Astyanax mexicanus: one gene and its partners. The protein of the gene in region 1 purifies or fractionates together with the protein of each later gene. This does not show direct contact. Links are inferred from orthologs where the notes say so. Each region holds a gene or a part of one and is shown on either strand. Other genes may lie near its edges.

Region 1 (7,997 bases):
TAGTATTTTCTTGTTAGTACTGTTCACATTTCAGCAAAATACATTAAACTACATCCCTTTTTTGATCTCAATGCTCTGCTTTAGGTTGGCGACTTGGTGATGGTGACCAAGATCAACGTAAATGGGCAGTGGGAGGGAGAGTGCAAGGGAAAACGGGGCCATTTTCCCTTCACGCACGTCCGCTTACTGGATCAGCACAACGCAGACGATGACCCAAGCTGAGAGCGGAGACAGACTTCCCTGTACAGCCCTTAGACGCGCACACACACACTCTCCTCACATCTCCTCATAACTGACATGCCCAGCAGTAGCCTCTTCTACTAGATCCTTTTCCTGTCTATCCGCTCATTGTTTTCGTGCCATCATGTCGTTCATGCCAATATATACACTATCTGCAGTAATTTCCTTATTAGACCTTATGCAACCATTTGAAGTTACTTAAGTAGACACTAAACACTACGGACATCTCTATAGGTTATCCTAAGCGGAACTTTGGAGTGTGGCCTAAATATTGTGAGTTTGAGAGAGAAGAGATATCTGCTTGGACTCTAAATGTAAGCAGTGGGGTGTTGCTGTAAGGGACTGTTCCTCTGCATTTGAGTAGCATACACTACTCATACTGATTTGCTAAAAGATGACTGCTACAAAGGGGATTAGTTTGAGCCCTTTATCACACTACAAATCATCTGCCATGTGATTCCATAAAAGGTGTCTGAAGAAATACTGATCATGCTCATATTAATGTTTACTATTACATGCTTAATTTGTATTCCTTTAACCGTTTGTTTTTGTGCACACAGTAATGCTTCAATTGACTTTTGTTAGTTAAAGAAGTGTCCCCTTCATTTCCTGTTGGTCATTACAGAGAAGCTATTCTGGGCAATGAAGACTTTTTTTTTAATTTGGAAGACACCAATCAGTTTTTATAAAAGCACACATAATGATATATTTCCACTTGTGTGCCTGCAAAAAGAAGTCTTTCATTGGGTTTAATGTATAAAAACATTGTGCTTACAAACCTCTCTACAACATCCACCTAAAATGCTATCATGTGCAGATGCTTCAAGAACAACTCACTTTACTACTTTGATATACACTGTAAGATTTGATCACTACATGTAAAGTGTTAACTCAATGCCTCAAACACCTCCCTATCTAAAACTCTTGCACATAACAGTAGCCTTCATCTACAATTGTTTTATGTGTCTGTGCTCCAGCTGAATTAGTGTTTTTCTTTTTAAATAATGTTTGTGATCATGCATCACTGCTTCATAGTGGGATTTTCTCCTAGGAGGTGATATAACACAGTTCCATTAACCAGCAGTTTGCCTTTATTGCAGTTCAAAAACTGAATTAGATAATGTCTAATCTAGTCTGACAACCAGATTGGGAAGTTAAAAATACTGTACTAGAAGGACTTGTAAGCAAGATTTGTGATTTGAAACATTTGTAGTTCATATTTAAACATTAAGTTGTGGGTATGGGAAAATGTATGAATCTGAATTAGGTCGTGTTCACATTACAAAGCTGAAGTGACTCAAAATCAGATTTTTTGCCTGTATGTGCCAGATCAGATTTGAGTGTTTTTGTTTTTTTCCCCCTCTTCTTCCTTCCTATTGTTTCTCTATATGTGGTACTTACTGGATATATATCCGGTATGTTGGAACGTGAAAAATGGAACATTCAGATCAGATTCATATCTGTAGTGTGTACACTTCATCAGTCAGCACTGCTGTTAGTTGAATTCTGTCTCCCAACCGGAATCTGAAAACGTGCGTAAATATATCTTTGTGCACATGCTTGTTGGTTCAGGGACAAATTCATTCACATTACAAATAACTACAGATCATTTACATTTATGAATGTGAAGCATCGAGACGGCCAAAACCGATTTGAGCAAAATCAGAACTGATTATTGAGGCATGTAATGTGAATGTTGCTTTGACGAACAAACCCATAACACTAATGGAACTACCATCAGAAAATAGTTAAGACTACACTGATCATGTTTGCAGTTTTTTGAATGGCTATGTTTTACGTTCTGTCACTTGAACAAGGACAATCACCTGAAAGAATTAAGCTTCTATCATGCGGGAAATATGAAGGTTGGGTATGAAGTAATAATAACTAGTCAGGACAAGCAGCCAGATTGTCACTCAAGTCCTGTTATTAACGGGCTACTTGTCCATTGAGCTATGAAACAAACAAAAAAATAAGTATTTCCAATTTCCAAACGTTTAAAAGGCCAAATAAAATGAATATGAACATTGTTAAATATAACACTACAGCTTCAACATCATTCCAAAGTGTTCTGTTCTCTATCGCAAGGTAAAAAGGATAAAGTCTTACTAATGCACATCATAAGTGCCACTTTAAGCTGTGTCTAGATTGACTGACTGAGAAATGTAACTTTGCCCATGTTTTTATTTTTATTATTTGTACTTAAAGTATTATGTTTACTGTCTAATCCTACAGTCCATTAGTGAGAGTAATATTATATATTTTTTGTGATGTTCATTTTTGTTCACATAATGCCCTTCACAGAACAGCTTCAATATGGGTCAACAATTTTTTTTTTCTTTTGGATCAGCCTGTTCCTGTACATGAAATGAAGTTAACTCCTATAGTAAACCACTTTAACCCCTTTAAATGCTGAGTTTGTCTGTGATTTTTAAAGGCATGCCAGAATAATCACTTTTATCTGAACCATGTAACATCTCCAAAATTAGAATTCATATAAAGAAATATCTGTAACATATATGTATGGTCATGAACTGTTCATACAATGCAATGGATCGCTTTTTGGCCAATATCAAAACCCATAATTGCAATAAATTATATTAGTAATTTTAAGACTGTAGGAATTGTGATAATTTAATAGCATAATAATACAAATACACCCTTTAAAAGAGCAGTTATTTTCTTAAGGTGTCAGATTATTTAGTGCATGTAAACACTCATTAGCTACTGAAATGTTTTCTACTAAATCATTATACAGCTTAATGGATCTATGGCTAAAAACAAAACACAGAAAATGAGTTTTGCTACAGAGAAACCTGTCTCGTTATCTGATGAACATTGGGTGGAAAGATAATGCTAGACAGAATGAGCTATTGTAAGGGGGCTTTTTGTTCATTTTGTGAGCTGTCTGGTTTAGGTTAAAGTAGTGACAAGCTTTGTCTTTGTAATGACGCATGTTTTAAATGCAAATCTGGTGTTCTCTTTCAGCAATTAAAAGAAAGAGAGGTAAGACGAGGACTGTTTAGCTGTTCCACAAATAAATGCTCTAAATGAATCTTTTAGAATAAAACATCATTAATTTTACTCAAACATATACCTAAATAGTGAAATCAGAGAAACTGATTCAGAAACTGAAGTGGTCTCTTATTTTTTTCAGAGCTGTATATGTATATACAGGTCCTTCTCAAAAAAATAGCATATTGTGATAAAGTTCATTATTTTCTGTAATGTACTGATAAACATTAGACTTTCATATATTTTAGATTCATTACACACAACTGAAGTAGTTCAAGCCTTTTATTGTTTTAATATTGATGATTTTGGCAAAAAAAAGTAAAGAAAATAAATTAGCATATTTCATCCAACCAATAAAAGAAAAGTGTTCTTAATACAAAAAAGTCAAGCTTCAAATAATTATGTTCAGTTATGCACTCAATACTTGGTCGGGAATCCTTTTGCAGAATTTACTGCTTCAATGCGGTGTGGCATGGAGGCAATCAGCCTGTGGGACTGCTGAGGTGTTATGGAGGCCCAGGATGCTTCGATAGCGGCCTTAAGCTCATCCAGAGTGTTGGGTCTTGCGTCTCTCAACTTTCTCTTCACAATATCCCACAGATTCTCTATGGGGTTCAGGTCAGGAGAGTTGGCAGGCCAATTGAACACAGTAATACCATGGTCAGTAAACCATTTACCAGTGGTTTTGGCACTGTGAGCAGGTGCCAGGTCGTGCTGAAAAATGAAATCATCTCTATAAAGCTTTTCAGCAGATGGAAGCATGAAGTGCTCCAAAATCTCCTGATAGCTAGCTGCATTGACCCTGTGGACCAACACCAGCAGCTGAGATGGCACCCCAGACCATCACTTACTGTGGGTACTTGACACTGGACTTCAGGCATTTTGGCATTTCCTTCTCCCCAGTCTTCCTCCAGACTCTGGCACCTTGATTTCCGGATGACATGCAAAAAATGAGCAACAGTCCTAGTGCTGCTTCTCTGCAGCCCAGGTCAGGAGCTTCTGCCGCAGTTTCTGGTTCAAAAGTGGCTTGACCTGGTGAATGCGGCACCTGTAGCCCATTTCCTGCACACGCCTGTGCACGGTGGCTCTGGATGTTTCTACTCCAGACTCAGTCCACCGCTTCCGCAAGTCCCCCAAGGTCTGGAATCGGCCCTTCTCCACAATCTTCCTCAGGGTCCGGTCACCTCTTCTCGTTGTGCAGCGTTTTCTGCCACACTTTTTCCTTCCCACAGATTTCCCACTGAGGTGCCTTGATACAGCACTCTGGGAACAGCCTTGCTTGCTTGAGGGTGTCAATGATGGCCTTCTGGACAGCAGTCAGGTCGTCAGTCTTACCCATGATTGCTGTTTTGAGTAATGAACCAGGCTGGGAGTTTTTAAAAGCCTCAGGAATCTTTTGCAGGTGTTTAGAGTTAATTCGTTGATTCAGATGATTAGGTTAATAGCTTATTTAGAGAAGCTTTTCATGATATGCTAATTTTGTGAGATAGGAATTTTGGATTTTCATGAGCTGTATGCCAAAATCATCAGTATTAAAACAATAAAAGACCTGAAATATTTCAGTTGGTGTGCAACAAATCTAAAATATATGAAAGTTTAATTTGTATCATTTCATTATGGAAAAGAATGAACTTTATCACAATATGCAATTTTTTTGAGAAGGACCTCTATAGTATGTGAAATTAAATTGCATTAAGAGAGAGCTGCATGTTGCAGTATGTGTCTGTAAACTTTAGGACAGGTAGGGAGGGAGTAAGTGCTCTAAGCAGGGCTGCTCCCTCCAGCCCTCTGTTGTACAGGGCTGAAGTTCCCGGATGAGCCTCTCTCGCCATTTTTGCCCCAGTGGCGCCGGCGGACAGCGGGGCTTCAACACGGTTCAGGCTGCAGCTGCTTCTCCTACGAGGGCCTGCCGCTTTTACACACACTCCTTTACCGAGAATCCGTCGCTGAATAGGCTCGTGTCACACTTTCCAACATGGCTAACCGGGAGGACTTAGTATACCAAGCCAAGCTCGCCGAGCAGGCGGAGAGATACGACGGTAAGCGGTGTTTTGTGGTGAAAGCTGACTGGGCTAATGCTAATGCTAACGTTTACCGTTAATACTGCGGGCTAGCGGGTCTGTCTGTGTTTCTTCGGGGCCAGGTTTAGGATTAAAACGGGGAGCTGGGGGTGAGAGAGGTGGATAGATAACTGAACTGCCTTCCGATAGAGGTGCTTTAACTTGGCGTTAATTGTATATAGACCCAGTGAGGCTAATTCGACCGTTATTATTCGCTGAGGGACGGTGTGAAGATGGAGACGGTACTGGAACCGACAAAATGGCGGACAGTTATTGGGTGAGGCAGGCTGTTGCTAGCCGAGGCAGGGAGCAGTGGAGACCTCTACACCCCGGTTGACCCCGATAGCTTTAATTATAGGTTACGGGTAGCTTGACCACACGAACCTGCAGGTGTGTGCGTGTGATGGAATGACTGCCTGGCCGCTGTAAAACATCGCAGGTTAAGCTAAGCTAGCCTATGTAACCTAGCTTACCGTAGCTAGCTTGTAGCGCTAGTTACGCTGCAGCAATGCTGGTGCAGACCGGCTAGCTAGCGTTAAATAGCTTTCATAAAGCCTGCTGACTTGGGTGGCTATAAAGACAAGTGATTAATGGTGCTAATTTAGCTAGTTAAGCACCAGAGGGTGACCTAAACTGACCCAAAATGGGAATTGAACACTGTAGGTTTAGTCTGTAGCTAGCTAACCTAATGTGCCTGCTGTAGTAGGCTAGCAGTCATTGTGTAAACCCTCCTCCTGTGAACCATGTGAATGCCGTGTTCAGCAAAAGCTAGGTTAGTTTAGCTAACCAGTTAAATAACTAGGATTATACTCACTTCCCCAGTACAACAGTTGTTGTTGCCATGAAAATAGACATTAAAGATTACTTAACATCCTATATAAAGAGTCAACAATGTACTCGAGTGTATAGCTAGTCGTTTTTTAGCAAGTCATAACTCAGTTTTTTCCTTAGTAATATTTTAAATTTAAGTTTTAAAAGCTTTACAGATTTATAAAGACACAATGACTTGGCATTATTACAAGGACAGCCTATCCTTAATGTGTTTTGACTAGTCATATGGGAATTCACTATCTTATAACTTTAAGCTCTGGAACAGATTGAGGCCACTTTAGTTCTCAATCAGTTTCTTTGATTTTGCTATTTATATGTCTATGTTTGGGTAAAATGAACATTGTTGTTTTGTTCTATAAACTACGCATCACATTTCTCCCAAATTCCAAATAAAAATAGTCATTTAGAGCATTTATTTGCAGAAAATGAGAAATGGCTGAAATATCAAAAAAGATGGAGAAGAAAACAAGGTCATATTGGTTTGATGACTTGTGGTTATTAATCTTCCTCTTGATTATATTCCAGAGATTTTTTAATTTGGTAAGATCAAAGAAACTCATTTTTAAGTGGTCTCTTAATTTTGTTGCTGTATACTCCTTTACCTGTAGGTAACTACACTGTTATTCTTGCTAGTTAAAATGTATAGTATTACATGCCTAGGATTTATTACTAATCAAAACTATATTAGGAATATTTGTCCTTGTCAATTTAATTATGGATATGTGGCCCAGGACTTATAACAAGTAAAAATTACACTGTGGATATTCAGATATCTTCAATTTCCACTAGTATTTTTTTTTTTTTACACAGAGAAATATTTAGTGCTAATCAGTGGCAATATAGCTATGACTAATCAAAATTATACTAAGAATAAGTAATCTTGTCAATATGTGTAGTTAGTATGGATTTATAGATCTATAACTCTGATATCAACTTTCAAAGCTTACCCCTGAAATTATATTTAGAGTGTATACTAATAAAAGCTCTAGTACATGGATCAGTAATTTGAGTGAGTTTTTACTTTGACTTGTTTGCTGAAGTCATATTAAACCAAACAGCTTCTACATCATATGTATTAAATGATGGTGAGAATCTGCATTCACTAATTGTAGAAAGTAGAAAACGTGTCTGTACCTCAGTGCTTGGCATAAGCTCTCTGTGTATAAATGTGTTTGAGTGAGAAACTGCTAATTATTTGCTTTTGGATTTTGCAGAGATGGTTGACTCCATGAAGAAAGTGGCTGGCATGGACGTTGAACTCACAGTTGAAGAAAGAAATCTGCTATCAGTGGCGTACAAGAATGTTATTGGTGCACGAAGAGCATCCTGGAGGATAATTAGCAGTATTGAGCAGAAAGAAGAAAATAAGGGTGGCGAAGACAAACTGAAAATGATCCGGGAGTACAGGCAAACGGTAAGGCGTATGCTCCGCCTGACCCATATCTGATAGTTTTATATTGACAGTATGACTGGTTCTACATCTCAGTCTCCCATGTGTCTTGTTCAGGTTGAGACTGAGCTGAAATCAATCTGCAATGACATCCTTGATGTTTTGGATAAGCACCTAATTCCAGCTGCTAATTCAGGAGAGTCCAAGGTCTTCTACTACAAAATGTATGTAGTCTGCTGTTTCTCATATGGGGGTGTTACTGAATTAAATAAAAACTCTTTAGATTTTATGGTCTCAAAAAAAAATACATGAAAATGCACATTTAATTTTAATGTTAATGAGTAATGTTTTTCAGTGCCACCAGATTGTATCTTTAAGAGTTTTTAGTTGTATTTGATGTGAAATGTTTGACTACTCAAAATGAAAGTAAAGAATGACCACAATTCCTGGCTTGTGAATGT
Region 2 (6,988 bases), on another chromosome or scaffold:
CCCAAGAGAATCTAACACAAACCCCAACAGTCGAAGATTATTCTTATCATCGAGATCAAATTCAGAATATTTACACCACACTTTCAATCCGAGGTGGAAAGTTTAATCCAGGCTTTAAAGTTCAAAAAGGACAAAGCCACAGCTTTAGTGGAAAAAACAACAAGAACACACACCATCCCAAAGCCAGGATGTTGACATGATGAGGATCTGAATGTTTACATCTAATCAATTAGGAGCTCTGCTGTAAACATGCCACTTTATTTCAGTGCCCTCGTACAAAACTAACTTAATTTCAAAATGATCTGATTTCTCTTATTATCTATTAACTCTTACACATATATTCCACATACCATAATATAAATAGTGCAGTAGAAACCAAGATATACAGTCAGACGCATCTTAACAACAGTATTGGATGAGACCTTGTAGCTTGTAGCTTGTTGAGAGTGGTGGTGAGCTGCAGTGTACTACTATTACACAGAGGAAATAGTGAACATTCCTCAGTCCTGGAGCCATTTGGTCACAGAAACCGAGTATGGAACAGGGGAGCAGACACAGACAGAGTTAGGGACAGAGGGACAGAGGAGGGGGGAGAAAGAAAGAGAGAGAGAGAGAGAGAGAGAGAGAGAGAGAGAGAGAGAGAGAGTGAGAGAGAGAGAGATAACAAGAAAACCAGAGCATCCAGAGAGAGAAAGAATTTTAAAGAGGAAAGCAGAACATCGGGAAACAGGACTTAAGAAATGTACATCATTAGATAAATTGACACTACCTGCACATACTGTACATTGTCCTCACTTATAGTCTAATTTAGCAGTACAAATTAAAACAGTTCTTTAGATTTACCATTTAGATCCAACTGGTTCAAAATATCTGATTGAAATTGATCAACATTCCTTAGTGGGTTTACATTAGCCAGTGAAACAGATAGACATAACCCAATCCTACACACTAATATTACCCAATTCTAAATGTTAGCATTATCAAATTGTGTGGGATACTATTATTTTACTATTGTACCTCTATGTTATTACCAGTTATTATCTATTAACATTACCAGTACCTATGGGTTAACATTACAAACTCTTCATGTTGACATAACTAGAACCTATAGGTTAAAATTACCAAAACATACAGCTTAATATGACCTAATTCTATAGTTTAATGTTACCAAAGTCTTAATGTTAACATTACAGAATTCTTTAGGTTAATAGTACCAGTAACTATGGGTTACAATTGTTAAATCTTATAGGTTAATATGACCGATTCCTAAAGCTTAACATTACCAAATCCAATTGGTTAACTTTACTAATCCTTCTTATTAACTTTACCTAATATCATATATAAACATTGCCAAATGTTAGAGGTTAACAGTACCAACATTATCAAATAATTTAGGTTAACATTACCAAATCCTTTAGGATAACAGAACCACTATCTTTAGGTTAACATTACCTAACATTACCTTTAGGCTAATATTATCTAATCCTATAGGTTGATATTAATTCTATAACATTACCGGGTAATATTGGTTAACATTAACAAATCCAATATGGCATCATTTATCATTAACAAATGCAATAGGTTAACATTGTCAGATCAAATTAGATTACATTACCAATCCTTGTGCATTAATGCAATACAAGATTGCTTTAAGATAACTTTAACAAATCATAAAGGTTATCATGATTTTTCGTGAATTTATCTGTAATATTTTCCAGAATATCCAGTATATTATCCAGCTTGAATTAAAATCTTTTACACCATTTTTATGGGCTAGATTATCATCACTCAATTCTACAGGGTTACACTATTTATATGTGTAGTTAGTTAACATTACTCAGTACTATAGCTCAGCAGTATCCAGGACTATTATATTCTGCTTTTCTCAGAGACTGGTATCAATGAGAGCTGGATGTCCACAGAAGATGTCCACACAGGACGTTTTCTTTGCCTCTTTGATGTTTTTGCTGCTGCATGGAAAAGTTGGAATTTCCACACTGAGCAGACATATGAGCAGTTATAACCGGTCACAGAGGGAGTGAGAGACTGAGACAGTATCCTATCCGCTGTCCTCCTAGATTTAATGAACTTACGCTATCTTCTCCAGACTCTTGTCCTGTTAAAGTGGAGCAAAGTGCGCGGCTGTGCGAACCGCAGCGTCTCACCTTACCAAAAGCAGGCGGACTGGTTCCATCAGGGATTCAGCATGAAACACCCAACTTTCAACTGGAGAGAGGAGAAATCTCCTTGTTTATATTGTTCTATTTAGATTTACATTTTTCATTTTTTGCTCTGTGTCACTTCTTATGGTCAAAAGTATACTTATTCTATATGCACACAAGAGATCATCTGGACAGGAGATGAGCCCACAATTCTCTTCTCCCTCTAAACAGCTAGTTACAGCTATCCTCTGCAGTCATATGCGCCTGATGAGTGCCAGTTTCTCCATACTGCCACGTTGAATGTTCAGACATGTGGGGATCTGAACTGTTTGAAGCAGCAGTCCCCCTTCACCCCCTCACCCCCTCTACTTCAGATTCTGCAGCAACCCTCTATACTAGTACTAAAGGGGAATAATAAGGGCTAAGGGATGATGTGAACTAATATTAAATATACTCACCTTTACGAAAAAAAGATCAGCCAATTCCGTTCAAGACAATTTAATCCAAAACGAGCCCAGTTAATAGCGTTAATCCCGTTTATACGTCCCGTCCAGCATCGACTGAGAGTGGAAAACTGCAGCAGCAGCTCCTGAGAGCTAACAACTCACGCTAACATGTGGAATTGCTGGGTGGAATGACCCAACTGAGCAGAAACAGGGGGTGGTAAAAGTGTGGCAGTAAAATACCAGGACAGGACCTCAGCTCGCGTTAACGCAGGACGCCTTTGAAGAAGCAGCCTGTGTTGTTTGAACTGAAGATATGAGAAAAAGTGAGCGTGCACTATCGCCTCCCCCAGTCCAGCAGATCTTGGTATGCTCCACGGCTGCTTGTCATGCCATTCTTCCCAACTGTAGCAGTGCAGGAGGGGGGAGCCATGGCGCCAGCAGCGGGACCTCATTGCAGAGGAGCGGGGCAGAGAGGGCGTGACTCAGTTGGGATAGGCTCATTGCCCCTATAGCTGAATAGTAATAGACTGATGTAGCTAAACTAGAGGGTGTGTTTTACTGTAGCCTAATGAATCGCTGCTTTTTGTCCAGGAGAGGCTGTAAAAAAAGTTTAGGAAAAAAATAGTTGTTACAAAATTTCCCTTCTGCTCTTTTCACAAAGAAGTATTCATTTAAGTTTCCACAGGAGCTACTGTAGCTAATTACCCTCCTGAAAAAAACAACCCTGACCAGACCAGCACAGGGTATGTTTTAGATTTTGACCAGCACACCAACAATGATCAGGATATGTCATCACATGTGGTGTCTCATATAAGCTTAAAAAAAAGTAGATGAAACAAGTAAAGGCCAATAAAAGTCTTGGTTAGGTAAGAAGACCCAGTACAATATCAAGGAAACTACCTGTGAAACTACATGTGAATAGAGTTTGACACATTACAGGGCAAAACAGTGACATATAAATTAAAGCTGACAGTATGGGTCATTGGGTGCATCATTGGACAGCGTTTTTAATCCTGATGACTTTTCAGAAATAAAAAAGCTGATTCCTGTACAGGTCAAGCAAAGCTGAAACATTCCCAGGAAAATGAAGTCGTTAATGTCCAAGGATTTGAATGGCAAAGGGTCTAACGACCTCTATTGTGTTAGTCTTCACTGCAGAACTCAAGAATCAAACTTGAGACACAAAACACTGGCAGATACACTTACTTTGGGGTGTGGGGATAACTGAAGTGAAAAACATTTTTTATTGGTGAACCATTCTTTAATACAACTTAGTCAGCAAAAAGGAATCTAGCAGTTTCACTGCAATCTTTAGTATTTGTGCCAAAGCCTGTGTTGGTTTAGAAACATCTGTGTTGAAGAATACTCAAAGAGCATTTGTTCTGCTAAGAGAATTTGTTGTTGGCCATAGGAAAGTGCTGGGAATGCACAGGTGTGACATTTTCCTTTCTCTAGAAACAGCCTAAAAAAAGTAAAATCAACAGCCTCCTTCCTGAGTAGACCAGAAAGGCTTTAGAAACAGATCTCATAAAGTATTTATTCACAGTAGTCATAGTACTTTGTGTTCAGAGAGAGCTTTCTAGAATCAAATTGCAAATACATTACCATGACTTGAACTGCCTGGGGTCATCTCATTCTGTGTGTGTGTGTGTGTGTGTGTGTGTGTGAGTAGCTGTTCACAGTTCACAGCTAAGGAGCTGAAGGTTGCCTGCTCCACAGAACAAAACAAAGATGAAGACAGATTAAATATTCACCTTTCACTAATTATGCAATATTCTTACCTTTACAAGTGTATGGATTTGTGCTCATAGAATCTATAACTGCCCCTAACCATAACCAGCACTTCACGGGGGTAAATAAACAAAGATAACAAACAATCTAAAGAAATTTAATTCACATTATGTATGTATGTACAGTACTGTATGTTTATAGAATTCCTCATACCCTTAAAATCCAGTAGATTTTTGCATTAGATCAGAACATTCACATCTTCTAATAACGAATCCCCTGTATAAATTGTGTAAAAAACATTAGTTTAATGTCAGAAAACTACATATGTGGGGTTAAGACTAAATTCCTTCTAAAAAAAACAATCGTTGAATAAGGCCCATGTGTGAGGAACATCTTGAAAAGGTGTCTAAATTCAGCAAAACATTTTAAACTAGAAGCTCTATAAGCAACAGAACAACATCTATGTATGTAAATACATGTACTAGTAATTTTTATCTTTTAATCATATTGTTTTAGTAGACAAAATGTTTGGCATTAAAACATGCTAATTAAATGGTTTATATAACAGTAATGAAATACTACTTTAAAAGTGATGGATTATTTTACATATCTACCTTTATCCTTCTAACTTATTTATTTACTGATTTACATTGATTACAGTTAGTAACTATTTTTTCACAATTAGTTGCTACTTTTTTGGTATCAGTAGAAGGTTAAGTAGACCTATAAAAGATTCTTCACACTCAAACAAACACACACTACGACAAACATGGTTCCTCAGCAATAGGTTATACTATGACGTTTCTTGAAGAATCACATGAAACACCAAAGTTTTTTATTTGAACAGACAACCCATTTTTACACTGTTCCTCATAAATGATTCTGAGACTTCACCACCACCATGTGTCACCATCAGATCAGGTTCACTGGTGCCATCATGAACAGAAGAGCATCTGCTGATGCCTATCAGTCTCAGGGTCCCACTGGGAACCAATGGGGTGGGGGTCAAAGGGAGGTAACACACCAGGTCAGAGGCAAGAGTGGCAAGAGAGGCACTCCTACAAACTTCAATGAGTGTGCTAATTCCCACCTGCACAAATACACTGTACCCACACACACACACACACATACATACACACACACTGTTGTTGCACCCAAACACACAGTGTTGTGTTGCTGTCCCCAGCCTCTTTCTGCAGGACAGATGGTGGAGGAGTAAGTCTACACCCTGAGGGAGGACAGAGACAGAGGGTTTGGGGAGGGGAGGGGTGTAAAGCAGGACTAATGAAAAATAAACAAACTAAATGACATGATTCCAGGTCACAGCCCCGTGAGAGTGTGTATACCTGCTCTGCCCAGTAGCAATGGGGAGTTCGTTCACACGTGTGAGAAGAGGAGAAGAGAGAGTAGAAAGCAAACAAACAAACAAGCATATGTAATCCACACACACACACACACACCACTCACACGGGCCGTGTGGTCAGTGTAGAAGGGCATGGCCAATAAAACCAGAGATGCTGCTCTCTTGCCAAAGCCTGCAGCTATTCCGAGCTCTCCCATCACGTGTGTTTGTTTGCCTTGACCTCCGCCAGTTTTAGGTGCGGAGCCATTTTGCAAAGCTGTGAAGCACCAACAAACACACATACAGGTTTGTTTACAGAAAATGTCAGGTTATAGAGTTTACCTTATATTGGGGGTATGTGTTTTACTACATATGAATTTCCTAAGCCTGACCATAAACGTAAACAATTTTAAACTCAATATACAAATATATTTTTTTAGGTTTTAATTGTTAAAGAATATTATTTTACTTTACATTGTTTAACCATGTAGACCATTCTTATGTAATGTAAATGAACGTCGCCTCGCTTTGCCAAACATTCACACAAAGCAATCCAGACTGTTCTTATACAGAGTTCCCCAATGGTGGAACAAACTACCTTCTACTACCAGATCAGGAGAATCTCTTGCTATCTTTAAGAAACTCCTGAAGACAGAGCTCTTCAAAGAGCACTTACTCTTCTAACACCTCTAACACACTAACTACTTCTAACCTCATTTCCTTCTTCCCCTCCTTCACTCCTCTATCCCGTTATTCCCTTTGACCTCCTTTAGGCCCTATCTAAAGATGTTTTACATTTAACTTCTATTACTTTTGTACTTCACTATTGTAAGTCACTTTGGACAAAAGCGTCTGCCAAATGTAATGTAATGTAATGTAATCTTATTGTTTACAATATTATTAAATATTTTTCTGTTATTATTTAGAAACTATTGTGAATTATTTATAATATATAGTTTGGTTGAGTATCAGTTTAGGACCCATGAAAGTGATGTTAAGTATTGGGTAGTAGAGCTGTGGCAATTCGCTGATTACAGAAATGCATCAATTTGCTAAATGTGAATCAGTGCATCAAAAAGATAAAGATGGCCTCATCCAATGAAAACAAACTGTATTCCAAACCTCACACAGTGTGCACTGTTTAAAAGAAGTGCATAAGTAGAAGTGTAGTAAACTACATGCTGTCTTTATATCATTTTAAATAAATCAATAATTACGAATCTTTAGATGAATTGACCAATCAGAAAAAATCAATGTTAGATTAATCTCTAAAATATTGATTAGGTGCATGTGAGATTATGACAGCA
Region 3 (7,810 bases), on another chromosome or scaffold:
TGAAACTCATGCTTTTCCAAAATAGTGATTTCTTGGCATGGGCTATGCTATGCCCCTATTGCTAGCATTGTAAGCCTGTTTGGAGCATAGGTGGCCTATTCAAAAAGTCCATTTCCCACTGGATTTCTCCTTTAAGAAATGGAAGTTCAGGGGAATTGTGGAGGTCGAGATGAGATCTGAAAGAATTAAGAAAACTCTCAGCAAGAACTGCTCATATGCTGACAAGACTGGCAAATCAACGCCCGTATGGCTACCCAGGATCAGCTTAAACATTCAGTGAAAATTGTCAGAAAGTGTGGTACTGATCATCTTAAGAGGCTGAATTACTTTTTAGAGTGATGTGGACTCTATATGTGGACAAAATACATTTTGAGATAAAATAAGAACTTCATTTTATGAAAAGAACACCTTACCAACGGTGTCCATATAGTGTGGATTCACTTCTATGCCTCAAACATACCAGCACCTCTACTCAATTATGGTTTCTTCTGAAATCAAGGGTATTAAAACAGGTTTTTCCTGCTTTTGTTGGAGTAACTGTCTCTAATATCCAGAGAAGGCTTTCTACTGGAGTTTGAAGCATTGCTGTGAGGATTTGACTGCATTCAAAAACAGGGTTTATGAACCCTCGTTAGTGGGGTCAAGTTATTGATCAGCAGCCCAGCTCATCCCATAAGTATGGGATGAAACACAGTCCTTCCAGAACACTGCTCCATAGTTCAGTTTAGTACTTCTGTAGCCCAGGCCTGGCAGAGAGTCGTATTCTATTGTCAGTACCTCTGTTCAGGAACTAAACATGATGTGTGTCTGCCTTAGCTTAACCCATTCCCCCGTTCTAGTGCACTACTAACATCAGCATAGGCTGTGTGTCAAAGGCAAAAACCTCTCTGAGGCAGCAGCTTGTGGCTTTCAGTTCAGGCCTACCTCACATGCTTCACATTTTCAGTCCAGATGCCAGTTAATTCTCTTGTGACTTGAGTAAATGACTATAAATGTCTAATAAACTTGTTGTCTACCTTAACACTGAGCGTATCCCCATCGTTTGTTGATTCTTTTTATTATCCTGACAGACCCTCTGATGGACACTCTCATGACTGACCCTGTGATATTGCCTTCTGGAAACATAATGGACCGAGCCATCATCCTGCGCCATCTCCTCAACTCGCCCACCGACCCCTTCAACAGACAGCCTCTCACTGAAAGCATGCTGGAGTCAGGTACAAACCACCGTTTTACTCATCAGATAAACGTCTGAATTTAACCTTATAGCATGTCTGTTAACACACCTCTGTTGTTAATAATAATAATAATATTAATAGTATTAATAATAATAATAACAATAACAATAATAATAATAATAATAATTAATGTGTTTCTCTTTAGTTCCAGAGCTGAAGGAGCGTATTCATGCGTGGATGAGGGAGAAGCAAGGACGCTTTTCTCAGTGAGCCACACTTGCAGCCAGTTTAGGATGGTTTCAATATGGAATTTGACTTGGAACAGATTGAAGGGAAGAAAGCAAAGAAGAAAAAAAAAACTGTCATGAAACCTAATTTGAGTTTTTTCCCTTTATCATTTTTTTTGTTTTATTTTGTTTTTTTTTCCTGGGCCGTCAAGGTAAAGGCTGTTGGTTCTAAATTGAAACATAATAATAAAGTTTAGACTTTTAAAAGGTTTTGCTTATGACTTTGTGTATATTACATAAATGCAGATATATTTAACTGAATTGTTTCATACCAAGGTTTTGAAAGATTAGGTTTTCAACCTGGAAAAATCAGGTGAGAAATACAGATACAGGCAAAATATTCTACAAATTGTAATTATTCTGCTGTCTGATGTTCTGAAGCTATTGTGTTTGGCATTCAATATTCCAATTTAGGGAGACCTTTCATTTAGAAAGAAGCGCAGGAAACATTTTCCTGAATTTTTCTTTAATTATGTTGCGAATCTACATAAAATTAAATTAAAGTGGATAAAACATGTTACTATTAAGGATTGGCCATAAATTTCATGTTACGTTTATGAAAATGTCTATCTATACATTGTTCTGAAGGTGGAGAAACTGTTTAAAAAGAGCATACTAGATCATCTTTTAGTACATCTAAATAACTGTGTTGATTTGCTGAAGAAAAAAATGTCAGTGCATCATCAAATGATGACTGAATCTGTACTGAAAATGTTTTTTTTTTCCACTGTTGTTTACTTTAAATGATCATATGTGAATGGCCTACAGCAGTTATTAATAACTGTGGTTCTGGAGGCCCACTGCAATGTACATTTAGTGCTTTTCCTGCTTTAACATGTACCCACTTACACCCAATAATGGCTTAATAAAGCTGATTTATGAAATGAGGAGTGTTGGGAGCAGGGAAGAACTAAACAGTACAGGGCAATGGGCCTCCATGACCAGGGCTGAGAAGCACCAGCCTACAGCACAAGGCCACCCAAACACCACCTTTAACTTTATTTTATTTTTATTCTCGTATTGTTAAATCTAAAAAAGCTGAGCTCAGCCGAAAGTAAGTAAAGCAGCTTCGATAGCATGATCGTCATGAGAAAAGTGCCACTGAACCAAATGTATTTTCTTTAACGTACACGGTTTTATATGCTGAGAAAGTTCATCAATCCAGCTGTTTGTATTAATCTTTGGTTGTTGGAGCTCACGCTGAATTATGAATGTCATTTTCCTGAGACATAAACATTTAACTTGACAGGAATTAGCTTCCTTTGCTATGAACATTTTTTGAACCCAGGACAAACTGTAATAAATGGTAATGCACTCGCACAAATAGCTGTTGTAATTGCATTTGTATGTAGCTAGTTCATAGTTCAAATAAGCTTTTAATAATTTTAATTGTGAATTTGACACAGAAAAGATACAAAGGTATAGCCAGTTATTAAAATGTACTGCTGTAATGAAGTGCAACCTAGTGCACAATGGCTTCTCATTGTGTTTACTTAGATAAGATGCTCTGATAGTAGTCCCACCTCAGGGAAATTTTCAGTTACAGCAGCAAAAAGCAAAGGAAACAAGATAGAAGAATCAATGAATCAATCATTTAATCAATCAGTCAGTCAAGGGTTATTTACACTTAGAATACATTTGAGGATGTTCCTTGTGTACAATGCCGCCAGACATCGAACTGAAGAAATTAGTATATAGAAAATAAATATTAGATTCAAAAGTACAGCAGGACATAAAATCAAGACCATACATTGAATAAATATAATAATAAAATAAACACAGGGTCACAGACCCTTTAAGAGATGTAGAAATTTCCTTACAGCACTTTGTCTGTCATTTTAACTCATAAACTTCTTAAGGACAGTGTGTGAATGTGAGCTTAATTATCTGATCTTCTTAATTTACAGAATGCAGGTGTGCTGAGTTAGTGCTGGAGATAAACGCAGCTCCTTTTGAAACTGTACTTTTAGCTTCTACAGGTCTGTTCCAACCGTTTAAACCATTAAAACGCTTTAAATAAATATTGTGTGTTCCATATAATTGGTTCAACAAATAATACAGGTATTTTAAAACCTTGTAATATACAGTCTTGTGCCCACAATAAGAAATAAACTAAATTTTGTATCAATATTCAGATTGGGTCTGGGCTCTTATGGATTTAATTTTAATAAAATCAGTGAAAAGTGTAAGAAAAAATGTGAAAAAAATGACGCAGGTATTAAAATAATCCAGTTATAATTTATATAATATAATATAATATAATTGATAGTTGGGTATAAATTAGGTGATTGAAATGGTTTTGGGTGATCGCTGTAATAAATTTCAGTTAGACGCAAATATTCCTAGTTCATTAAAAGCTGTCAGCTTCTATAAAAAGACAATAAATAGATAAATAAGCAAACAAGCATTATAAAATAATGTAGGTTGGAGTGCAGTCCTGGTAACCTAGTGCTGGAGAAAAAAAACTAGCTCATTTTAAAAGTTTAGATTTTAGATTTATTTTTTGGTCTGTTTCAGCCATTTAACCATTAAAACGCTTTAATAAAATGTTTTAGATTCTATAAAACTGGTTCTGACAAATTCGAGAACAAAGCGTTAAAATGCAGATCATAAAAAATTGTTGTAATTTGTGTTACATCAGGATTTTAACCTTAACATATTTACAGTCATGTTGTCACAATAAGAAGCAAACATAAATGAGCTGATCACTGACATTCCCCAGTTCATTAAAAGCTGTAGGCGTCTATAAAAAGACAATAAATAGATAAACTTGGAGTGCAGAAAGAGGGAACAACAGAGCCAGTATAAAAAGAACATGTATAAACAGTTCATTAAAATATGTCAGCATCTATAAAAGAAGACAATACATAGATAAATAAGCAAACAAGCATTATAAAAGACAAAATGCACATGGGAAGTATGAAAAGCTGTATAAATATGGAATGTTGCACCAATAAGAACATTGCACCAAAGCAGTAATATAATCTTAGACCCTGTGATTTGATTGCAGATGCATCCTTTTTGCAGCAGACACTCATTTCAGCTGCTAGGCGGCGTCCTTCCCGTGTTATTTGCTCTGCTGTAGTATTTATTTCTCTATTCCTGCTCTCCAGCATTTCCATGCCATGGCACAGCCTGCCTGCAGGAGCACGGAGCCATCCTGCAGTAAGTATCGCGTCACACGCGGCCCGCCCACTCTCCACGCTTCCTTGACACTGATTGGCTAAGCCGTACGTCACTCAAAGGATTCTGTCACGCTATTGGTCCCTGCAGCTCTGGGTGAAGGCGGTGACGGGGCGGTTGACGTAATGGTTTCAGTAAATCAAGGCATTCAGCCGTGTGTTAGCTAGAGCTGGAGCAGCGGCAGCGGGAGGAGCGGCACCAGAAAACAGAGCTGAAATCGACGCTGTGGGAGAAATGCTGCTATAATGGGTGTATATAGCATATGTGGAGTTTTTAAACATTTTTCTGCCGGCCTGCTCTGATCGTTGCTTCACGTATAAAGACGTTTTAGGCTGCATTTTCCCGTACTTGGCTTTGGATTTCCAGAGGACTTGAGGAGGTGAGTAACGTTAGATAGCCTACCTAACCTAACGCTAGCTAAAACTGGATAACTGCGTTACAACAGCTGTTTTAGCGTTATTTTAAATCGTTAACATATCTATATTGTTGTTTTGTGGTTTATTGGCATGCTGCAGTGTAACTGTAGCGGTTAGCTAACCTAGCTAGGTTAGCTATTTAACGGTAAACGGCTCGGACTGGAGGACACACGGTGTTCTGTCGGGTTGCGCTCTCCTGTCAAATCGTGCCTCTTTGGCTACTTAACCCTTTCAGACCCTGCACCCAGTACAATGGACATCATGTATTTTCTTCATTTTAAAACGTTTTGTTGCTCATAAAACTATTTGAGAGCTGTTGTTTATCAGAATAGGTAATGAACCAGCCAATAAACAAGTTTATAAAACATTAAAACTGTAACTTGGCCCTGCCCACTGCTCTGAAGAAAAAAAAAAACAGTAGTCATTTTTACTAATTTTGTGATTTAGATTTAGAGAGTTTTTTAATCATGTATTTAACTGTTTAAGACTGATTTATGAAATAAAAAGGTCAATATGAAATAGTGAAAATATTACACACAGGCTTCCAATGTAATGGAAATGAAAAAAAAAATATTTTTTTGGTTTTAGTTCATTCATTTACTGTATAGATTTTATAGTAGAATATTAGAGTCTTCTTTTCTGTGCGTTACAAACAGAAAACCGCTTTCTTACTTTTTTTCCAGCCAGAGCACTGAGATAATTCAGGCCTGAAATGGTTAAACACTACTGTAAAACAGTGTCTAGCTAGTTAAGTAGTATATTTAGTATATAAAGGGCAAACAACATTTTATATGGAAGATTAACTAGCGTAATTGACATATCTTAGTATTATTAGTTGATTTGAATTGCTATATCACCTGTTTAGCACTTAAGCAGATGAAAATAACAACAGTGAGCTTGTCATATTAAATGTTCTCACTCGAGGAGAGCAGACAACTATTAAAAATATTTAGAATTATGTGGCAGCGCATGCGCAGAACCGGGAGATACTACAAAACGATGGGTAGCACAACTCGACAGAACACCTTGATGCTAATGTTGACGAATGTCAACGAATCTTGGTTCGTTTTTTTGTTAAAGCAACTAACTAGCAGGGTGACATGTCTAAGAGGTATTAAAATGTAGCTATTTTTATCACCTTAATATTCATAATTCCTTTTTTATTAAATCGTAAATAGATGAATTATTTATTGTTAGAAAAATGGGTTAACTAGCTTGATGGGTTACATATTAGTTTTTTATTTCATAGTAACAACTATCCACAACTAACAACTAAGTATTCAAGAAGTAACATATAAAATAAAAAAATAATAAAAATAAGCTATGCCTATTTATCTATAATTACTAGCTGAAACAGACATACTGTTACATTACATTACATACTAATTCTTTCCTTATATTTTTAAGCAAATTCACAAATTGTCCCTTCTGTTATTGTATAGTTATCTAACTATTTTTGACAGAATTTCTAATTATTTCATTTTTTTGGATGCAATGTTAAGATGCCAAGGCAAATGATAGATTAGGCAAGTAGTGTTTATCCTTATTGCAGCCATTATAGCTAGATAATAAAATAGCTGTAATGGTTATTAGGCCAGTCCTTATTTTTTCTATAGGTGAAATAAATGGCACTTATAGCTATAGCTAAAGATGACAGTGGAAAGCTGCATCAGCTTTTTGTTTTAACTATTTATGTATTAGTTAGCTACCTTATTCTATAACGAAAGTGACTCAAGTCAGAAGATAATAACAGTAGAAGCTCAGGTTGTTGATATAGATTAGTTTAGCTAATCTAACGTTTGTTAATTCACATGGAAGTCACATTAAAATATGATGGGCTTTGCTCCCAATCTGTTTTCATCTATCTTTTTAGCTAACTAGCTAACCATATAGTTAATGTAGCCAAACATGATTTTGTTGGGTAGATTTAAGCAGGAAATTGTGTTTTTTTTTTACATGTTTAAAGGGTCAGTGACTGCCACAGTCCCTTTCTCTCCCTCTTTTGTGGTGAACAAATAAGATAGTTGGGTGGCTATGATACTGTTGTTGCAGGTCTGTGGCCCAGTCGGCTGATTATTTCATGGGCGTATGCCGGTGGAAAAGCTGGCTGTGTTTGTTAGCTATTAGCCAACCTAGCTAACCTACAAGGGCAGGAGTGAAACCATCCTTATTTAAAGGTGTTTAAGGGTCATTAGCTGCCCGAATGACAGCACACAGTGTGACCATCATGTAGCAGAAATGATACAGAAAGAGCAGGAGGGACAATGGAGCTTGTTCAGTTTTTAGCTTACAGTTAAATAACGAGGGGCTAATGCATCGCTGTTTAATAACGCTGTGATTTGGGTTATTGAGATAACCTAACCTTCCTGTCTATATAGATAGTTAGTTAGCTAGTTAGATATAAGGTATCTATCCTCGTTAATGGTATATATACGATGTATAGGGTGTAATAATGAGGAGAGTGGTGTGATTAATAACAGTAATAATCTCTCCAGCTGAGCTGAGCTGGAGGAAAGTGGGCCCATCCCTGCTGCAGTTTACTGGCAGCCATGTTTGAGGCGGAGAGGAAAGCATCTAACGGTGAAGCTGTTAAAAGATATTCTGAACAAATACGAGATTATCTGCTATTCCTATTTTATGTTTCTGATAAATTACATTCTGTATGGTTATGCTCTGCGTTATGAAGCCATTTGTGTGCGTGTGCGTGTTTTGTATCTGTCATCCATCTGTCTTTTATATAGGAAAA
Region 4 (7,415 bases), on another chromosome or scaffold:
GCTAGCTCATTAACTAGCATTGACGACCAGGATCTTACAATTTTGTGTATAATAATAGGTTTCACTGATATTTTTGACACTATGAACTATGAACATCAGAATCCTGTAGAATGTATAAGTTAGGCTTAGTTACACACATGCTGTACATTTAAACTGCATAGGACTTTAATTATTACATTGTAACAATTATTTTCAGTTAATGGAACAATATTTTTTTCTGCTACTCAGTGATATTAAGCCCATTAATTAAACCTTATTTACACTAATTAACACAGAGAGACAGTTTACTGCAAAATGCTGTTTGAAAGTAGGCTATATTTTCCAAATTGGACTTAACTATAACACTGACAAAATTATTTTCAGTTAATGGAACCATATTTATTTCTGCTAATCAGTGTAATTCAAACATTACAATGATTACATTTTGATTTTGATTACATTGTATTTTGTAGCATCTGACAGCTTCAGGTTTACTGATTACTGATTAACTAGTGTTAGCTTTAAACTAATCATAATATTTCATTTCTGTGGATGTATTTTGGTGTTTGGGGTTCACTAAAACCTCTTTCATAAACACTAATAATTCTAAGCAGAATCCACCAGCAGCTCCTATTATTGTTAGAGTAATGTAATTTAAGTTTAATCTAGCCATTTTGACTATCATAGAAGACAAAGGCCTAAACTCATTTTTCAGAGGCACACTCAAAACAGAGGGCCTGTAGTACCAGGTCTGCCTTGAAGCAAAGATAAATAGGCCACATTTTACAAGCACAACATTTAAAAAATCTAAAACTTGTTGCTAATCTAAATTACAAGGACCCTCATAGTGTCATCTAATAGCCCAATGCTGCGGCCCAGTAAAGCACAGTTTCAGTTTGAGAGAGGAGAGCATCTGGCCATGGGAGAAAGCATGGCTCCTGTCCAAATATTCCAGTTTGAGCAGTAGGAGGGAAAGGAGAAGGTAGTCTGTCCCCCATTGCTTTGCTTTGTTAGACGTGTTAAACGTTGACGTCCTGTAGCTAACTGTTATCAGGTTTATATGTTCCAGTTTTCCGATGTTTCTTACTGTACCTATATTGTTCGTATTATGTTTATTTTTTACCAATACTCTTAGCTTAGCTAGTTAAATATATATGGAGAAATTAATGTGAGCGTAGCTACAGCCTGTCTAGTCTAACTCAAAATAGGTAGAACTGAGAGAAAGGAACTGAAATAAATAAATGTATACAGCACGAGTCCCACCGGGATCCCCCCTTTATCCAGCAGCACTCAGCTAACCTAGCTGTAGCCCTGTGGACATGATCAGCAAAGTCGAACCGGGGTTTGCTTTGTTATCGCCGGTTATAGCTGCGTGTAACCTACAGTGTACTACAGTGTATTAACACTAGTTAGGTTACCGTTTAGTAACATATTAATAACTAAGGGAGCGATGTTGTGTAAAGAGCGGAAGCTATCCAGCGGGTTCACTGAGGCTGAATGGAAATATTCAGGCCAGATGTAGCCAGGCAAAAAGACAGACAGACAGAGAGAGAGAGAGAGAGAGAGAGAGAGAGAGAGAGAGAGAGAGAGAGAGAGAGAGAACACAAAGGGAACTCGACCAATGCTTTAAATTGTGTCCTTTAACACTGGTATTCTTAGGACATCTCTGTAGGGCATGAGCAGCTAATAATATAATACACATTTTAAAAATACGATATCTAGGTTAGGTAGCTATACTTCTTAACGCCCTGTTACCATTAAATGAGAATTCGCATTAACCACATTAAACCTACCCAGCTGACACACAACCGACCTTTAACATTAAAATGTGGTTGAAATATGATTGAAGTAATGTCTGTTGTTGTTTCAACGTTGAAACAACATTTAATGCTAAATGGTTGTGCAAACGTTAACATTTTTTACGTTGAATCAACATAATGTCCTTAACCTTCTGCCTTTTGAATGAACATTTTACATTTCATCACCATACAATTAAAAAACGGTTGGATAGAGGGAGGACAAAGTAGTTTTACTTCCATTTGCAGGAAATTCTTAAAAATTTGGCACCAATTCTTCACCATATCTGGGGGTATATTAATGTTCAGTTTGTTTTACTGTGTTTATTAACACTCTTAACCAAAGTATTTTCTAGTTTAAGTGTGCTATGGTTTATTAAAGGTTAAACGTACAACGTTGAAACAACGTTGCCATATCAACGATAGTTCACTTTTCAAAATCAACACCAAATCCAACGCTGATTCAACCATAACATAAATGTTGATTCAACGTTGAAATGCCAGCTGGGTAGGATTGATGGATGCCTGAATGATACTGAAAGACTGATCTTATAATTTAGCTAGCAATCCATAGTTAAATAAATTACTGAAATCCACTACACATACGTAAACGCGTGTTTTTCATTATTACAAACATATTCCAGATGTTTGAAACGTTTTGCACATATTCAAAACCCACGAATAACGTTACCCACAATCAAATCAGGATCTCTGAGCCATGATGCTGCCACAGCTCTGAAAAACACAGATCTGGCATGCTGATTGCACACGTTGTGATGCTGCTTGAAGTTCTGCCGGCCGAAACGCGTCTCTGCAGCGAATTTTACACCATTAATCTAAAATAGAACTGAATTCATCACATATTGCTCTATGAAGAACATCCGATACGGCCTCGAGTCAGTAACGTTAGCGTTGCTAACCTAGGTTATAGGAAAGGCAAGAAAAACGTTTTTTAGACACGCCAACAATAAGCTAGCGTTAACGTTGCCCTTGCTGCCGATGCACCATTAAACATCCATCCATCATTCCGAAAAATATAACTAGCAATATAATATTGATTGACATATTACTGTTACTCACCCCTTTCTGTTCCCCTTTTTGTGCAAAGATCCAATTCAGAAGCAGCCCAACGGTTTTCAGTGCCCTGCCCAGTATGTGCTCCTACGTCTCAGTTGCTCAGCAATAACGTTATTCCTAACAAATAGCGGCGACCTACGGCAGGCTGGAATCAGGCAGGCAGGACATCATAGCCAGAGCCGGGTTATTAAGAGCCCGCCCACTTTCTATTCTCTCCGTTATTTCAGTCAACGACTGCTAACCTCTAGAGGGAGCGCGTGAGTGAGTCTTTAATAAATGAAGGAGAATGGAGCTAAACGGCTTAAAACTCAAATTAACAATAGAAACGAAATACTTATCCGGATTTTCCTTTAATTCCCTGAAGATTTTTTTTTCTCTGCAAAAACTAGAAAAAGTATCTGTATGTTTCCAATTTTCTACATCAAACAGTTTTTAGGCAGTAAAGATGCTAGCGTTACTGCTAAACAATGCTAAATAGCACATTTAAAAGGCTTATACGCTTTAAAATGATTTCTGTGGCACTGAAACATTTAATATTTTTCCATATTAAAGAAAATAACTACATTTGTCAGGATAAAAATAATAAAATATTTATAAATTTAACATCTTTGATCGCAAGACCCTACAGCCAATAGTGAGGAGAGCTTAGAAGACCAGTCTCTCTGCCCTCTATCACCGACATCTACACCACACGCTGCATTCACAAAGCCACCAGCATTGTGGACGAACACACACATCCCTCATGTGGACTCTTCGAAGATACCGGAGCATCCGTGCCTCCGCTAACAGACTGTGCAACAGCTTCATCCACCAGGCAGTCAGACCTCTCAACACACAGAGACGGAGCTAAACCCGCTCATCACACATCCAACACACTCAAGCCCAATTTATACTTCTGCGTGAAAACTACGCCATAGCCTACGTGTATCCAGGGAGAGTGTGCTATGCGGAGTGCGCTTATACTTCTGCGTGCACATATCAGCAACTCTGTGTTGCTCTGCCCTTAGTCCTTAGCCCTTAGTTAAACCACGAAGGCAGGAATGTGTGGGAGGAGATGCGAGATGTCCTCGTCACACGACGCGTAGTTACATTTGCAGAGAGATGCGAATCGAGCTATGGCGTAGGCAACGCCGTAGGGCACACAGTGAAGCTTAGGCTACGGCGTAGGGTATGGGGTGACGCATAGGCTACACCGTAGGTTCGACTCAAAAGTATAAATTGGCCTTAACACAGAACTAAACTGAACCCCCCCACCTCTCTTCACGCACAAACACACACACACACCGAAATGTCTATATCCCTATTAGCAATATTTGCTGCTTCATTTCACAAAAACTAGAAACTCTCTATCTCAGTTACTGCTGTGATCATGTATGTTCTATATGTTACAGTATGTTACATATCTCAGCATATTATTCTTAGTATTGGTACTGCACTGTCCTGTCTGGTAAACTGTCTGTTGTCTTGTCTTGTCTGTTGTTTTTATTGCATTTATTGTAGTGTTATAGTTTTATGTTACACTTTTGCACTTTATGTTGTCTATTGTTTTGTTGTTCCATTTTGCACCATGGTTCCAGAGTAACATAAATTCAATACACTGTGTACTCAGGTGTGATGACAATTAAAGCCTGTTGACTTGACTTGACATGATAAACTATGATTTTGCCCAATTGCTCCATATAAAACCATATAATTTATGCACATAATCAAAACAAATACATATACAGCGCCCTCTAGTATCTGAATTTAAAAGTGACAAACTGGGGGAATACATTCTCGAGTGGGTCTTCTCCTCGCTACAGGCTCTCTGATATTACAGCAGCGCCAGCGTCTGCAGTTCCAACACAGTCCAGTGGGCGTGGCCTCAGCGATGTTGTCATCGCGCACAAAGACGCGTACCATGTTTTAAAAACTGTATTTTAAATATAGATACGGCGATTTTATTGTAATACATACATGTTTGTGATTTTAGACAATGATTTACGCGAAAATATGATTGCGTTTTTTGTCTTCATCGTTCATTAAAATATTAGCATCTTCCAATGTGTAGTTTTTACCCTCGTTATCCCCGTTCTCAGTATCAGGGAGGAGGTCACCGTGGGACTACAGTTCCCAGCAACCTTTGCGGGGACGTTGACGGAAGTTTGACCTGTGATTCGAGTGTTGACGGTTAGGGACTCAGTCACAGGTTGTAGTTCTGCAGAGCGTTGGGTTATTTTAATAATATTATAGATTTTTTAGACGGGACTGATTAGAGTTTGTAGCAGGTGATTAGGCACACATGTTCTGACGAGCTTCAGTTAATCCAGGCTAAAATGAAGCCGTCGCTGGACTCGGACGAGGAGGAGGAACTGGGAGCTTATCAGAAGAAACTGAGAGGTGATGCTGCTTAACGTTAATTAACTAAAATTAACGTTACGTTGCGTTGAACAGAAAATAAACATGCCCTTAAAATCCCGTGCGGTAGACGTTTTAGACCGTTTTTAATTATTTGCATGTTCGACTGCTAAACTAACTAACCTAGCTTTGCAGAAAAGTAGCGAATTATTAGGTCAAATCTAGTGTTGTGGTTTAATATAACTTAAAATAGTTGTTAAATAAAGTAGTTTTTAAATAAAGGCATTTCATATGCTGCCTCAAATGCCCAGTGAATATACATATGTTCTTTGAGTTAAACCGAAATTTTAAATGAATCTTAATTTTATCTGAATGCTGTCTTTTCTTACAAAATATTGTATATATAAAAATACATAAATATATGCAGTACCGGTTAGAAGTTTGTATACGCCTTCTCATTCAGTGGTCTTATTTTTACTACACTGTGAATAAATACTAAAGTCATCCAGACTATGATGAACACATAAAGAATCATGCAGTAAGAAACAAAGTTGAAAAAAGATTTGAAACTTGAAATATTTTTTTAAAAACTGCTACTGTGGTTTTATTTGTAAAATTGTTTGTTTTTTACTAAAAACAAAGGTACATAGTATGATAACCAACAATTGACACTGTGTTATTCTTACCTGATACGTTTCTCTACAATGCCTGATTTTACACCAAATACACTTGTTTTTTTTTCTTTATTCATTTTTGTCATTAAATAGTCCCAAAATTTATATTGTTTTTATTATTATTTAAGCTGTGTAGGGTGGAGTCAGCTAAAACTCTTTAAACCCCAAATCACCACTGGCATATCAATTATGCATGCTCCCCTGACATTTTCATAGCATAATAAAAAGAGTAGCCGATATGCTTTGTAGCTTTACACAGACTCAGATGTTCGAAACAGTGTAAAGGGTTGCAGTACAAAACTCTGTTGTTGCTTTGTTTCTTGTAATCTTGAGTGTGAGACACTTCAGCAGTTTAATCTGTATTTTATATATTGCCCCAGAGCAAGCCAACCGCAGTATTCAGCAGCTGAGCAGCATGCTGGCAAACCAGAGCTCTGAATCCGAGGCCTTGGAACAGGGAAGCAGTGATAACAGCATGCAGGACAGCTCACAGCAGCATGTGCAGCAGAGTGAAGCAGGTATGCCTCCGATCCATAGACAGTTAATGCGAAATATGATAAAATGTATGTATATCAGAATATACCATAATCAAGCATTTATTTATTTCAGACACATTATTTACACCCATCTTTTCAGCTTTACTGAGCATATAGGACATTTTGTAGAGCTACAATTACAGGTTGTAGTTCTTCTATTTCAGTGATGAGCTTCTGTCTCTGACTTTACATTTACACGCTGGAGCAGCAGGGTAGGACTGTATAATAGATTGGACATTTGTGTGTTTAAAAACTCCAGCAGCACAGCTGTGTCTGATCTACTCCTACCAGCATAACATATATTAACACACCACCACCATGTCAGTGTTAAACAACAGGGTGAAACGAGAAAAATCACGTATGCAGAGAAACAGAGGGCAACATTCTGAAATTATATATATATATATATATATATATATATATAGTTGTCAGTTGTCAGTTATCAGTTGTCAGTTAAGTTCTCTGCTTTTATTTTTCAGCCAATCAGCTGCGTTCTTTGCTTCAGAAACAGCCCCGAGAATCACAAGTTCCGTCTCTTTCTCCTTCAAAAAGGAAATGTGCTCTCAAGGTAGGTTACATGATTTAGGTAATAAAGCATGAACCAAGAAGACTAGTAAGTAATAGCTCTCTTGTAATTTTGCATATTTACACACACACACACACACACACACACACACACACACACACACACACACACACACACATATATATATATATATATATATATATATATATATATATATATATATGTATTGTCTAGGAAAGCACAATACAATTAAATTGTTGTTTCTTAAGGTACATACAATAAATAGGTATGCCTCTTTTACTTTCCAGGAAGAAAAACTGAAAAAATGCATAAAAAACAAACATGTAAATATGCCATTCTAGTGCTAAATGCAAGAGTAAAATGTAAAGAAATATAAAATACCTTATTGTAGTTTTAAATTGGAATCACTTAATCTGCTGAGTTTTAGTAAACTTTTCTTCAGCACTATACAGTATTACCATTAGCCACT

What was found.
Region 2: the proteins of ywhae1 (region 1) and frmd6 purify together in Homo sapiens (co-immunoprecipitation; 3 studies listed by BioGRID and IntAct, with this or other methods). This does not show direct contact. The link is inferred for Astyanax mexicanus from reciprocal best matches to the Homo sapiens genes YWHAE and FRMD6.
Region 3: the proteins of ywhae1 (region 1) and kif1b purify together in Homo sapiens (affinity purification with mass spectrometry; 3 studies listed by BioGRID and IntAct, with this or other methods). This does not show direct contact. The link is inferred for Astyanax mexicanus from reciprocal best matches to the Homo sapiens genes YWHAE and KIF1B.
Region 4: the proteins of ywhae1 (region 1) and cep170aa purify together in Homo sapiens (affinity purification with mass spectrometry; 3 studies listed by BioGRID and IntAct, with this or other methods). This does not show direct contact. The link is inferred for Astyanax mexicanus from reciprocal best matches to the Homo sapiens genes YWHAE and CEP170.

Annotation. Positions count from the first base shown.
Region 1 is NC_064425.1:15,960,778-15,968,774, reverse strand, and holds the start of ywhae1 (tyrosine 3-monooxygenase/tryptophan 5-monooxygenase activation protein, epsilon polypeptide 1), read left to right. Parts: upstream 1-4,979; 5' UTR 4,980-5,230; coding exon 5,231-5,294; intron 5,295-7,360; coding exon 7,361-7,560; intron 7,561-7,653; coding exon 7,654-7,760; intron 7,761-7,997. Other genes in the region: adapter molecule crk, read left to right, coding at 85-222. UniProt on the Homo sapiens protein: Adapter protein implicated in the regulation of a large spectrum of both general and specialized signaling pathways. Binds to a large number of partners, usually by recognition of a phosphoserine or phosphothreonine motif.
Region 2 is NC_064414.1:38,906,353-38,913,340, forward strand, and holds the start of frmd6 (FERM domain-containing protein 6), read right to left. Parts: upstream 3,022-6,988; 5' UTR 2,621-3,021; intron 1-2,620.
Region 3 is NC_064420.1:40,775,591-40,783,400, forward strand, and holds the start of kif1b (kinesin-like protein KIF1B), read left to right. Parts: upstream 1-4,789; 5' UTR 4,790-5,027; intron 5,028-7,810. Other genes in the region: ube4b (ubiquitin conjugation factor E4 B), read left to right, coding at 1,071-1,217, 1,384-1,448. UniProt on the Homo sapiens protein: Has a plus-end-directed microtubule motor activity and functions as a motor for transport of vesicles and organelles along microtubules.
Region 4 is NC_064414.1:22,580,707-22,588,121, forward strand, and holds the start of cep170aa (centrosomal protein of 170 kDa), read right to left. Parts: upstream 3,005-7,415; 5' UTR 2,856-3,004; intron 1-2,855. Other genes in the region: sdccag8 (serologically defined colon cancer antigen 8 homolog), read left to right, coding at 5,168-5,231, 6,244-6,381, 6,879-6,967.